Linked DNA regions of Drosophila melanogaster. Each later gene encodes a partner of the first gene's protein in a complex. Each region holds a gene or a part of one and is shown on either strand. Other genes may lie near its edges.

Evidence for each region. The genes of interacting proteins can lie anywhere in the genome.
Region 2: YL-1 (region 1) and Nipped-A share a complex: the UniProt entries of both Drosophila melanogaster proteins name them as parts of the tip60 chromatin-remodeling complex.

Annotation. Positions count from the first base shown.
Region 1 is NT_033779.5:10,966,829-10,973,969, reverse strand, and holds YL-1 (YL-1), read right to left. Parts: upstream 3,528-7,141; 5' UTR 3,417-3,527; coding exon 3,283-3,416; intron 3,223-3,282; coding exon 3,090-3,222; intron 3,014-3,089; coding exon 2,713-3,013; intron 2,654-2,712; coding exon 2,166-2,653; 3' UTR 1,877-2,165; downstream 1-1,876. Other genes in the region: abo (abnormal oocyte), read left to right, coding at 1-434; CG16743 (uncharacterized protein), read right to left, coding at 740-1,462; Tmem214 (transmembrane protein 214), read left to right, coding at 3,848-3,968, 4,042-4,337, 4,394-5,008, 5,074-5,278, 5,387-5,532. UniProt on the Drosophila melanogaster protein: Part of the Tip60 chromatin-remodeling complex which is involved in DNA repair. Upon induction of DNA double-strand breaks, this complex acetylates phosphorylated H2AV in nucleosomes and exchanges it with unmodified H2AV.
Region 2 is NT_033778.4:5,246,438-5,252,965, forward strand, and holds the start of Nipped-A (Nipped-A), read right to left. Parts: upstream 4,586-6,528; 5' UTR 4,529-4,585; coding exon 4,292-4,528; intron 1-4,291. UniProt on the Drosophila melanogaster protein: Part of the Tip60 chromatin-remodeling complex which is involved in DNA repair. Upon induction of DNA double-strand breaks, this complex acetylates phosphorylated H2AV in nucleosomes and exchanges it with unmodified H2AV.

The DNA of each region.
Region 1 (7,141 bases):
TCGGTGATGCACCTTCATTGCCCATGCATTTTTTCCTAAGGCATACCTTTGCGGATTCCAATGAATCGGTCTCCGTCGATCGACATACGGCCTTGCGCTTCAACCCCAGCGTTCCACTCAGCTCCCAGAGCCTTTCCTCGTCGCCCTATCTAAAGTTCAACGAATTTAGATACGACAGTCGGTACGTGTCTCCTCTGGAGCAACCCCATCGCTGCTGCAACGATCCTATTGTGTTTCTTGACCGTGCCACGGATTCAATCAAGTTTAGACTGCACGCTACGGCCCGCCGGCATTTAAATCCTTTGGCGCCACGGGAATTGTGCGCCTTTATTTGGCATCCCTTTGACCCACTAGTGCTCAGTATCCAGAAATGCATGAACAGCTACGTCTACCACGTGCACTTGTATAACCACAGCACAATAGTGGAAAAGTAGACTGCCTAATATGTACATACATGATTTTGTACATTTGTGTATAAAACATATTCAAGTACCTTTTATATTATGAAATATATGTGATACTAAAATATCTCGTTTTACCTTTTCAGTAATGTCTTTATTTACAATGGTAAGAGAACATTTCTTTCTTTTATTTAATCAAAGACTGTGAAAATTGTGAAAATTCCAAGTACTGTTTAAATCTTTAATTCGACTTTGCTACATTGTATTGAAGGCCGACTTGAAACTTGAGGCCCAATCCGACGTTTAAAGTTTCATGTAACATTGTATCTCGACTGCGACTACGTTGAAGATTGGTGGTGACCGTCCTCGTTGTATTCCTTGTTGACCTTAAGGGAATGATTAATAACGCTCGAGCCGCCTGGAGGATAGTTCGGGGCAGGCCCTGATCCCGGGCCGCTGGCAGGCTGCTGTGCCTGAGGCTGATTGGGGATCGCATTTGGGTTGTTAACTGGATTCTGTCCGGGAGCCCCCTGCGGTGGATAGCCGCCTGGATATCCGGACGGGTCGGGTGGATACATTGATGGTGGCGGAGCTTGTTGCGGGTGTGGCGGTGGTGGTGGTGGTGGGGGCATGTACAGATTGTAGGGATATGAAGGATAGCCTCCCATTTGAGGATACGGAGGATACGGCATGTACGGATTGTAGAGATATGAAGGATAGCCTCCCATTTCTTGATACGGAGGATAGCCCGGATTAGGATATGCAGGATAATTGTACTTGTGCTCCGTCTTGGAGTGCTTGTGCTTCTTCTCTCCACTGCTGCTGCTGCTGCTGTCGCTGCTATCGCTGTCCGTCCTAACCACTTCGTACTGAAGTAGCAGTACCAGAAGGACTCCAATCGCCGCACAGCTCTTCATTTCTCCGTTTAAACGCACGACGTTCGTTTGATCTAAGCTCACGGGTATGACTAAATCTTGCTCACACAATACCTTGTCCCGTTCCCGTTCCGACAATTCAAATAGCCAGCGCGTGCGTTGATTTTGATAAGTCGACAAAAACATACAGATGCGACAAGGTTGCGGCAGGGCCCACTCAACTAATTCCCTGTAAGAGTTTAGGATTGAAAAACAATTTCATTCGGAAATGAACAATACTTCGCCCATAGATTATAAATAGAGAATACAATGGGTTAATAATTTATGTGATGTAATGTCTCATACTTATTAATTAGTTATTGTGTGTCGGAACAACCGCATTTCCTCCAGATTTTGTTATATATTGCAAAGAGAGGCTGTGTGCTTATCAATTTGACGCAAATTAAGCGAAACAATTCTTTTGAATAATCTTAATAGAAGACTGCGACGCTTTTATTATTTAGACAACTAAACTTTTAAATAGAGCGGCAATTAAAATTAGATACTAAAAGGTAATAAATGGGTTTTACATATACAAATTGGATTAGCAAGATAAACTTTCTTTTGTGTAAACTGTTTTATCAACTTCTTAAGTTAATAAACCGGATGCTGCTGATAAATAAAATCAAAACAGACTGTGCGTTGATTATAAATACTTTTTAAAGATAACGTTTTGGGAAATACCCTATGTACTACTTTTCCATTGTCGCCATTGTATGAAATATATTAGGTAATCGTTTGGTACTGCCTGAAATTGACGAGGGTTGTCCAAAGAGTAGTTTGTGATTTCTTATACCTTTTTATTCGAAAAATACGTATAGCTTAATGAACTATAAAATTGATAGCATTATTAGTTATCTCCGTTTTTGCTGGCAGCTGCCGAAGCCTTCAGACGATTCTCCTTGACCAGCTTGCGCCATTCCAGCCATTTGGCCAGTTCGGGTTGCTCGCTGCCGCCGCCTTGCTGTTCCAGCTGCATGTAGTAGGCTTCGCGCAGAATTTTGAAGGCCTGGATGCTGTAGTATGGCTGCTGTGTGATCGGGTCAAAGTAACGGGCTGGCAGCCTGGTGATTGGACAGATGCCATTGCTGGCTTTGGGAGGCGCCTTGTGGCGGAAGAGGCTTTGAAACACCTTGTCATTGAAATCGTTCTCGATTGTAACGAATGTGCGTTCGCACTTCCCAGCAAGATCCTTTGAATCGACCGCAGGGTTTGCTCCGCGAGTGGGCTTTCGCATCGCTGGCATGGTTAGTGAGTGGTAGCGTATCGTGGGTCCGGAGAACGTGCGCTTGGTGGGACGTGATTTCTTCTTCTCCAGCTCCATTTTCTGGAATTTCTCTGTGAATGCAACAGCAAATTGTAAAATAGCTGCTTCCTTGGTTGCTTTAGATACCCACCCAAAGATTTAGTGTTTTCTTCCTCGGTTATTTTGGCCTCCTCCAGCAGCTCCTCCTGCGTGGGCATGTAGTCCTCCACGCGCACCTTCTTCTTTTTGCGCTTGCGGGCATCGTCCAACTCTTTGAGGCGTATTTTGGTAGCCTGTGTCTTGATGGCCGTGGAAGTGCGTATGGATTTGCGGCCGGAATCGAGGACCGTGAAGCGTGGACGTGGCCGCCGTTTCGTTACCCCACCACCAGGTCGTTTCTTGTGCAGGGCCGGCGTTGCCTTTGTTTCCTTTTTGACTGCAGGCTTGGTTTCCTGCGGAAATCATATGTACCATTTAAACACATTCAGTAATCACAGGATTTTATCGCATTTTAAGAATGGTTCGCACCTTATAAGCCTTTGTGTTAACGACACCGCGTTTCCGCTTTTTCTCGGGCGCCTCTTCCTGATCCGAAACGGGCTCGTCGTTCTCATCGATACTGAAGTCGGAGTCAACCACATCTTCCTCTTCGTCTTTTTGCCTGCAGAGTGAATTTTATATGGCTTGAGCATTTAAATTTATTCAAATGATTAGTGCTCACTCGTATTCCTTATCCTCTTCGTCCTCCTGAAATCCACCATAGGACGTTTTGTAAAAGTCGTCCTCCTCTTCCTCATTGAGCAAATGAGCTATTTTGTTGCCGGCATTGTTGCGCCGTGATCGCGAGGCAGCCATTTTTGTTATTTATATATAGAAACTATGATTTAAAGCAGCTATTAAATAATAATATTTTACAATTTGTAAATGTAAACAAGCAGAGCAGTGTGACCAATGTAGCAAACATAGTATATATCGCAGAGGCTTTACAACTTTGGTATGCGTTTCAGCCCTGGTAAAGAAAATGGTTTCTCCTGCATTGGCAGTTATTCAAACACATTTAAAACATAGCTAAATTTATTTATTTATCTATTACATGTATCACAACAAAAAGCAGGCAGCTGCTTTAAAATCACATTAAAAAGCGGTCGGTAATTCAACTACCGAAAGTAGACCACATTACTTTACACTTGCGCTGGCCACACTCTTGGCTTGTTGCTTTTTATTCTGCCGGCTGCCTGCATTTTCTGATTTAATTTAATACCATCGATAAAAAGACTGCTCGCAACATGTCGGAACAATGGGAGGTGGTCTCCAAGTCGCGCAAGCAAAAGAATCTGGACAAGAAGGTGTCTGCACACAACGAGCAGAAGCGCATCGCGGCCCAGTTGCCCAAACTGGAGGAGCTGTGTAAGAATCTTTTAAAAGGTGCACCTTGCAATGCGATTACATGTTTGCCCCTGCCATTTTATTCACTTCGCAGTGCCAACTCAGCGGTATCGCAATTTGTTCGGCAGCAGCAACAACAACAACAGCAAGTCCCATTCCCCTGCGAAATCTAGTTCAAGTGCCTCATCTTCCTCAAAAGCCAATAAGTCGCCAGTTAAAAAGCACACCGCAAAGAATGCCTCTACCCAAAAAAGGACCACGTCGGCAGCCGCATCGAAGCCAAAGACTCTGGAGCTGGCCTTGAGAAACATCACCCGGGATGATTTTGCTGCCCAACTGGAGCAGGTGAAGCTCAGTTGTCCTGGCTCCGAGCTGCGCTGGTTAAGCCATGTATGTTTCTAAAGGAAATGTGCCTAAATATTTGCTCACCTATCGTTGTCCCCCAGATTGCGCTATACTTCAATGAAGCCTTGTCCTATGACTGCGATCCCATCTTCTCCGGCCGCTCGGCTCAGTATCCCAGCAATTTGGCCAGCGCCTCGCTCAAGTACTCAATTGTGGAGTTTCTGGGCAGTGTGGGCGAACAAAACCTGGAGTATTTCTTCTACTCCCTGCTGGATAGCATGTCAACGGATCTAAACAACAATCAGACAGTGGCAGGCTACAAGCTCATCCTACAGTTGATCGGTCAAAACTGGCCGAACATTTGTTCTAGGAACCTGGCCAAGACTGCGTTGCTAAGGAACTCCTATCAGAACCGTAGCAACATCTGCCTGAGCATCCTGTGGGCAATTGGACAAGGTGGCTATCAGTCCCTAAACGAGGGCGTTCGCGTGTGGCAGAACCTGATGCTGCCCAACCTGGAGCTAAAGCAGTACACCAAGTTTGTGGTCGAGTATATGGAGCGGGCTCTGAGTGCAGCAGCTGTCCGGAAGACAGCGGATCCTCTGCAGATCAACCAGCAGGAGTTCTTTGCCACTTACAATGCGCTCAATGCACCCTATAACCACCTGCCCAAGGAATGGCAGCAAAGTCTGAAGCGTAGTGCGCGTTTGTTGCTTGTAAGGACGAAAACAATTGATAGTTGTCCCATTGTTTCACTGACCTTTCTTCCTCCTGTGTGTAGCAACACTATATCAACAGTCCTGTGAGGCATGCCAACATATTCCTTACGCTCTTCCGGGAAATAAGCGCCGGATCCAAGCAGACTAATGAGATCGAAGGCTGTATTAGTTGTCTGCTCAGCAGCGGCAGAGATGATTGCCTCAGGGTGTGGCGCATGAACTACAAGAAGCAACAGTTGCCTAGTCTACTGCTTCTGAAAGCTATAAGTACGATCTACAGCTGTGAAAATTCATTTAATTGGATTTTTGTTTAAAAGTACCACCCACACTTAACGTTAATGTGTTATCTAATATTGAATTTCTATCTTTTCCTAGACGACAATTGGACCACGTCTACCCATGAGTTGGCTACGTCGACTGTGTATCACTCTTTTCTGCAAGATGTGGCGAATCTGAACGAAGAACTGCAGGGAAGCAAGAGAAACGAAGGTCACCTAGATGATTTAAAGGAGGTTTTGTTGGTGAGTGCGACTTAAGTATATCACTCGATTCCAAGCATAAGGCTCTGATCCCAGATCGATAAAAGGTGAATGTTGAATGTGTGTTGTTTTATCTTTTATAGTTTTATTGGAAAACTAGTATATAGGTAATATATTTATTTTGTTAGCTTTTTTAACCCAAACTTATTATTCAAACTTAAATGAAATCAGAAACACTATAAATTTGAATTTTCTCACACCTCTGGTAACACTGTTTAAGTTAAGTGGTCTGGCTTAGTACATTACGTACTCTGGTCACATTGCTTTAGTGAAAAGAAAAACGAAGGTATAAACTTGTAGAACTGCCGTCTAAAAGTGAATAATTTATTGCAATCGGTGCTAAAAAGAATGATATGAGCTTATTACACTGCAGCTAACTAATGTAAAACTCTTCACGTAGAAGTGGCCGAACTGTTAGCCGTTAATGAAGTTAGAGTTCTTTAGGAGGACGCTGCCAACGCGACGTCGCTGCGGGAAAGAGATGGAAAGCGTTAGCCGGCGTTCGTCCGAAATTTCTCCGCTATTCAACTGGCTTTTGAAGCCTGGAGTGAGCATAAATTAATGGTCCGCACCTTAATTATCGCGTTGTCGCAATTATTGTTGCTGTTGCAGTAGTGCAAAGTGCGTTTCGTGCATATGTGTGCGTGTCAGTATTAACGGTTGTGTATTCCGCCGTTCTGCACTGGTATTGGTGGCAGCTATAGCTGCACTTTTCCCATAGCGTTGCCATGCGGGTTCCAGTTGCCGCTAAATTTCTCCGAGCAGAGCAGACGTTTTGCTTTCGAAAAGAGAGTGGGCATGGCCATCGGGGATCATAAATTGCCGCATTATCAGCCAACATTCTTATCAGTACACCCAATTTTCGGCTGATCTGAGGCTTATTTTTATTTTCCTATTGACTGATGTGTTCCAGCTGCGATTGGCCACTCGCCTCCTGCTCCCTCACCCACTCCCCTCTCACATCCCGCTTGTGCGCACTCTCCTCCTCTCTTCGCCTCTTCTCCGCACTCTCACTCTCATTATTGCACAGTGGTGCAGTTTCGCACTATCACCTGAAAATCTCGCAACGCCACGATTCCGAATTCTATGGTCCAAAAAGGGGGGCGAAAGAGAACCATTTGAAGATTTGGGCTGCTTCAACACGTGGCATGTCCACTGTGACCCTGATTCTCGCTGGCCTTCCATCATTCTTTCTTTCTTTCACTCCGAAAGCATAAAACAGACGAAATTTAGAGGGCATAGTTCATTCAACTCTTTTGTCCACAGAAGAAACTATTGTGAGTGTAAATGATACTTTAATTTAGAGACAAGGTGTGTTATTTTTAAATAATGGTGAAAGTAACAAATTTAAAAAAGATTACATTTTTTCATAATCATTATGACTAATGTATTTAGTTCATTAGTTCATTCATTTTCAACGTTTAAAGTAATTAGTAAATATATCTAATTTTGAAGACCATCACAATGAATGAATACATGTTTTCTTCATTAAATTTGTGCAAAACCTATACAAGTGTTCCTAAAAATTGAAAAAAAAGTATCTACACCAATTAAGCATAGCCTGCATATTGAATATAAATGTTTTTAATCT
Region 2 (6,528 bases), on another chromosome or scaffold:
CAAAGACCGAAGCCAAAAGCTCAAAGAAGCTGGATTAGGTAAAATCGAAATATTTTTTCTGCGTCCGGTTTTGATAATATAATTAGAAAATTTCAACAAATAAAAAAGGTGACCTTTTTCAATGAGAAAAAATTTAAAATTGTTTAAAAGTCTTGGCGTGGCAGTGTTGAGTGATTTGTTGGCGTTAGAGTGGGAGTGTCAAACCCGCCATAACCACAATTTTGAACCTTTTTTTTAACTTTTCACATTCTTACTTCCACTATCAGATAGCCGGGAAACTCGACTATAGCACACTCACTTGGTATACCCGTAAATCGTAGTGTAAAAGGGTAAGCTACATTCGTTGAAAATTATGTGACAGAATTGTTTCCGACCATATAAAATATATATATTTTTGATCAGGATCAGTAGCCGAACCGATTTGATCCTGTCCGTCCGTTCGTATGAACGTCGGAATCTCAGGAACTATAAAAGCTAGGAGGTTGGGATTAAGTATTTAGATTCTAAAGACAATGGCGCAGCGCAAGTTGGCTGACCCATGTTGCCACGTCCACTAGAACGCCCAGAACTGCCACGCCCACACTTTTGAACAATTTTTAAATTTCTTCTCATTTTATTCACCAAAATCTATCGAGATCCCAGAAATTATGAAATTTCGAGTTTGCATTTCCACTAGCTGAGTATCGGGTATTTGGTAGTCGGGAAACTCGACTATAGCATCCTCTCTTGGTTTTCATGCGTTGTCCGCAGTGCTGTTTGGCGTTATTTTTGGTAGGCACATAAAGTGCACTGTGCACCCATTTTCTCGGTCTCCCACACAAAATCTAAAGTTCTACGCGGACAGACTGCTCATTTGCGGTACAACAGCCTGCTTGAATGTTTTGATTCTGTGTTTTTGTAAAGTGGTCCGAATTGAAAAAATATGGATACAAAAGTTGTGCGCTTTCAGAATAAATGCCAAAGGGTTATAAAGCCAAAAATGACGTATTGGCTACGTGATAAAATGGTGCATGTCTTGCAACAACCCTGAAAGTGTGTTTTTGCCCAGTGTAGCACATCTTACTCAACCTGAAGATCCATATCATACTACTTTTGATGTGACAATCGACACATGTATCGTAATAAAAGAAAAATCAGAGAAATCCACCAAACGAATCCATTGTTTTCGCAAGGTAAACTACCTGTACTAAGAAATCATCAGATCAAGAATTAGCCGCTACATCTGCCACGTGTTTTCATATATCAAATCAGCTAAATAGCTTTTTATTCGATTTTTTCGAGAAATAAAAAGTCGATTTATTTGTATAGCGATTTCGAATGTTTTGTTTGCGCTGACATGAGGTAATATTGGAGACAATAACATAAGTGATGTCGGTCGAGCATTTAGACGTTTGAGTTCACATTGAAATATTTAATGACGAACCATGTGTATCAAAACTGAAATCGCCTACTCCGGTACTCCGGTTTCGTCTTCTTAAGTTAAAGCTGATATGCAAATATGGATGGATAAGGTGCAGTTGAGATCCAGAGTCGAGAAGAGCGCGACAAGAAACAAATGTTCCTAATCGGTTCATCGCTAATACGGTGGCAGTGGCTACGAGCATAACATCCTTACTAAGATTCTGAGCAAGAAGAGTAGCAGACGTTACGCAGAGTGCAGATGTGAATCAGAAAAAAGTTCGAACCTTTTTGCTAATTTTAATTGATCAGACGGGGTCAGGTTTTTAGGGCGCTCCCAGGAGCATTACAGAAGGCACATGTTGAAGGGCTGAGACTTGGGGCAAGAAGGGCGGAACTACGGAACTCAGATGTTGTATTACATTCTACCTATGGCGCATAGCTTGCCAATGCGAAATCCAGTCTCCAGAGTCCTGCTGCTTCAAGTCTTCCAAATGCTCCTCCTATTTGGGCTGACTCGGCGTGTCCAGCTATTACTTGGGCGATATTGCAATTCAGCGATTTGTTCGATATTTCCAGTTTAAAAACTCCCCCGAACAGAGGATTTAAGAGTCACGAGAATACATCAAATTATTTCCAATTTCGTAAAAAGCCAGTTCTTCGAGCTCGTTGAGATTTTTCTGTTTCTGAAGCTCATCGATTATCTCCAACCTCACGGACAGCAGCTTCCGTTATTTGTTGTACTTCCATTACATATTTGACCCACTTGGATGGTTCCGCTGCCGACAGCTTGGATATGATTGCCAAAATTGATTTACATTTTCTACAATATTTGGCCATTGCCTCTCCTTTCGTTATACATACATGCTTTACATTATGCCTTTCTGTGAACTCCTTTTACGCAATCGAGGTAAATGCTGAGCCTGTATCGATTACAATACATGTTGGAAAGCCAAAAATACTTGACCAGTCGTGTAATCGTCGTCCTGCTGGGCTTTTTTAATACGTAATCTCTGTAGTAACCCTCATACTCTATGGAAAGCGACTAAGGCAGTCAACATGCTTAATTTTTTCTGCGGCACGGTGTTCTACTGTAAAAGTGAAGTCTTGAATTTACATAATCCATGGTCCTACATCTCTCGGTACGTCTTGTTTGGTTGTAGTCTGCTAAAAAGCGACACAATCTGTAATGAGCTTGAACTATATTCCTAGCAGGTAGTGACGAAACTTCTTCATACCTATGTACGCTGCTTTGTCTTCTTAGTAATAGCTATGTCGCTTTCATTCGGCTTCGGAAGTCTTCCTGCTCCAATAATAAACCGGATGAAAACTGCCGTCCACCATCTGCCGCAACACAGCTCCAAATTCATCCTTTAAAGAGCCACTGTGTAGTTCTGTCTCTGCATCTCTTGTGTAAATTTGCCGTACGGGAATGTCTGAGTCGTCTTTTAATTGCTGTATGGCTTAATGTTCACCAATGTAGAAAAGTGCATCTTTTTTCAAAAAAAATTTTCAGCGGACGCGCGATTAAAGCATATCCTGGAACAAATTTTCTGAAAAATCCTGTTAGCCCCAGAAATGATTGTACAGCTTTAATATTTTTTGGCCTGCCACATTTGCCCACCTTCAATGGCATGTCCCAAAAAGTCAATGCGAGTTTGCAAAAATCTGCTCCTTTTCAATTTGAGGCGGTACTACGCAAACAGGTTCTACGGCGACATTGTAGATTGCAGCATAATCTCGTATAAACCATTATTTTCCTTATCCCGCAAAAAAGTATATCCATGCAATGTCTTAAAACAATGATATTTTTTCCCTTTTTTGATCGCACGTTTCGGACATCATTGGACAAAACTCTAGTAAAATTTATTTCTTAGATTTGAGATGTGAGGCGGGTGAATATAAGAAGGCACATTAAAAATCTTCTAATCCGTGCCAGATATAGCCACCGCCAACTGATGCAAAATGGAGTCATTATGGAACAGTATCATCCGTATCAGCGTAAACACTTAAAGCCTAACTTTGATGACATATTTTATTATATATGATTATACCCGTTGCTCGTAGAGTAAAAGCAAAAAAAAAACCTTTAGTTTACATTATTCGGTAACTCCGCTTTGGATACTGCTTGTTTGCATTAGGTGGAGTCTCCCTCTCTGCTTATTCTTTTATCTGAGAACAGTGCTGAATATGTAAGCAGGCCCCAGACAACATGGGTTAAGAAACTTCCGCTGATCAGGATCACTAGCCGAGTCTACAGAGACTTAGTCGCATGTTACCCCGCCGGCAAGCTGTTCAAAACACCCCACGCCCACATATTTGAGAAATCTGTTGAATTTTTTATTTTATGTGACTTTCAAATTTTTATTGGTTTGCCAAACATAATACTACCTAAGAAAACCTACGGACGTAATAAATAATAAATGTGTTTCAAATTTTAAAATTAATGAAGTCGACATCGATAATAAAAATATACTCTTTTTTTGCAATCAAAGTTATGCTTTAAATAATACTTCTTCTGGCAATGTATGCATAATATCTGCGCAAAACTTAAAGTTGCGTAGCACAAACACAATGCACGGTCGTTTTAAATATCAGAAACAGTGGTTTTCAGTTTTAAAAGATTGTTACTAGGGCACCGAAAGGTTTCCCTATAGTACTATATAGATAGCTTTACATAAATAAGTATATAAAATATATTAATAAAATAATTGTATTGTACAAACATAAAAGTTCCGATTATTGGGAGTTACAAATGTAAACACAAAATATTTTCAACTTTGCATTTTAAAAGATAACTACATATATTTAAGCCGAAATTCATTGACAGTTATTTCAACCAAACATGGTTTCTTCATTTAAGGCCCATGCAATGGTGAATTTTAAAACTTACGTGTTGCATTGTATTTTCTTGAATGAACTGAGGTTCGCCATCCTGAAGTATCCGCATAAATATTTTTAAAGAATTATCTAAGAACGACGGATATGCCGGACTTTGCATTATCATTTCAAAGTGTTCACTTAGCTCTTGAGTAGCTTTCAGCTTAAGTTCGTCTTTAGAAGAGGAATCATTTAAAATATTTAAATAATTCCGAAATGTATTCACCGGTACATTTTCAATAACCGACATTGTGCCTTTTAACTCGTTCAACAACTTGACCGCTGTAAACAAAAAGGAATAGTCGGAAATTGTATGACCGATATATTCGATTTAATTGTTTGTCAAGATAGCATATAAGAAATTTTGAAACAGGAACGCAAAAATATTTTAGAAATGCTTCAATTTTTTATATAATATAGAGCTCCCACAGAGATGCATCTATATTAAACCTTTCACAACCTTCAGTGTTAAAAATTGGCACGGAATTAATTCCATCTTATTTGCATGTTTACTGCAGGATACAGGCTTGTCTATCTTTAAGTTAAATTTAAATGTTTTTTATTGCTATTTTATTTCAATAACTGTGTTATTCTATAAATATTTACGTGTAGGGAAATCAACATACAAAATACTAAATAATGTGTATTGTTAGTGATGGATTTAATCACAAGAACATTTAGCTCCGTTTATTTGTGGATGTAGTAATAATTCGGTATAACTAGATTTTTTATTATGTTCTTTAATATAGTCGGTCGAAATGCTCGGATTATTACTTCAATGGTATAATAAATAAAGGAGTGCCAATATTTCAATATTCAATATTCAATATTCAATGGTGGGTCATATCGTCATAGATGACGAAAGAAACGGATAAACCAAATTCATTTTTTCAATAAGGAGCTAATCCAGCTTCATTTAGACTTATTTACCTTGAATTGAAGGCCTGTCAAATTACTTATGCCGAAACAAAAAATCATCATATTTCATTAAGTTTCTTATAACTTTTTAAATTTAAATAAAAACAATTTCGTTTGTTCATTTTTAAGTTTATATTAATTACACACAAAAAATAAAAAATAGTCAATACTACCATATCAAGCCATTTAAAAGTTTCACTGACAAGTGTGCAGCTTTTTTTTGTCAAAATACTTATGCCGACTAGTGTATATTTCAAAAGATCCCTGTGGCGGCCGGCATTGCAATCAACTAAGCATCGGAACGCGACGTTGACACCTAACACTCCAGTGCGGTCGATCGAGCGATCGAACTGCAAGACTTCTAATTATTGAAGGCAATATTAATAATATGACTTCAATGACTTCAACCGACAGCCAAGTGAACTGAAATAAATAAGCTGAGTAATGGTATAAGCCAAAGCATATTAAGAAAAGCAAGATAAAGAATTTTGAAGCCGAGCTCTACAGAGAGGAGCTGTGGTACAAGCCAAAACATATAAAAAAAGAAATTAATAAAAACACATAAACAAATAAATCTAAAAATAGAAGAAAAGAAATTATTACCAGCTATTAAGAAAAGAGCTAGGTAATTAATCTGAGTTCCATAAAAAAATAATAATAATATAAAGGTCGGGTGGAGCAGGCTACCCTCCGCAAGCCAAAGAAGAAACAACAAACAAACAAACGAAAACAACTAATCCCCAAATGTAAATCGGGGATATTATTGAATTAGGGATGGGTAATAATTACAAGACAAATTAAACATCTAATAGTTGTTTTCGTTATAAACCCCAACTCTAGGTCCCATATTGGAAATAAAACCATTGTCATAAAACCGTTTCAGTGCGAGGCGATCGACGGGCAACCCTCCGAAATGAATGGAAGAAATGGCTACGGGCTTTTACAATATATCTCGACGCCGAGGCAGAACTCAACGTTTGAGAGACAAGTATTTAGTATTTAATCTGATCGAAATCATCCTTGCGACAAGACAAGTCAGGACATGTCTTGCGTCATCTCCTGGATCTCCACAATATACGAGTCTAATTCCTTGACGTTTACGAATAGATCAGCCAATTAAACCGCTGTGGAAAGTTTTAATCTTGGAATTGTTAAGGCCCATAGTGAAGTAACTCCTGGCTTGGCACAGGGCAGATGGATTTTCTATTATCTATAAGTCTTCGATTGCAAGTATAAGCACGCTCCACAAACTGATAGGTAGCATCACAGAATCCATGCAATTCAACGGAAGCCTTAGGCCGCATTACGAATCATGGATTTAAAGTTCTGTTC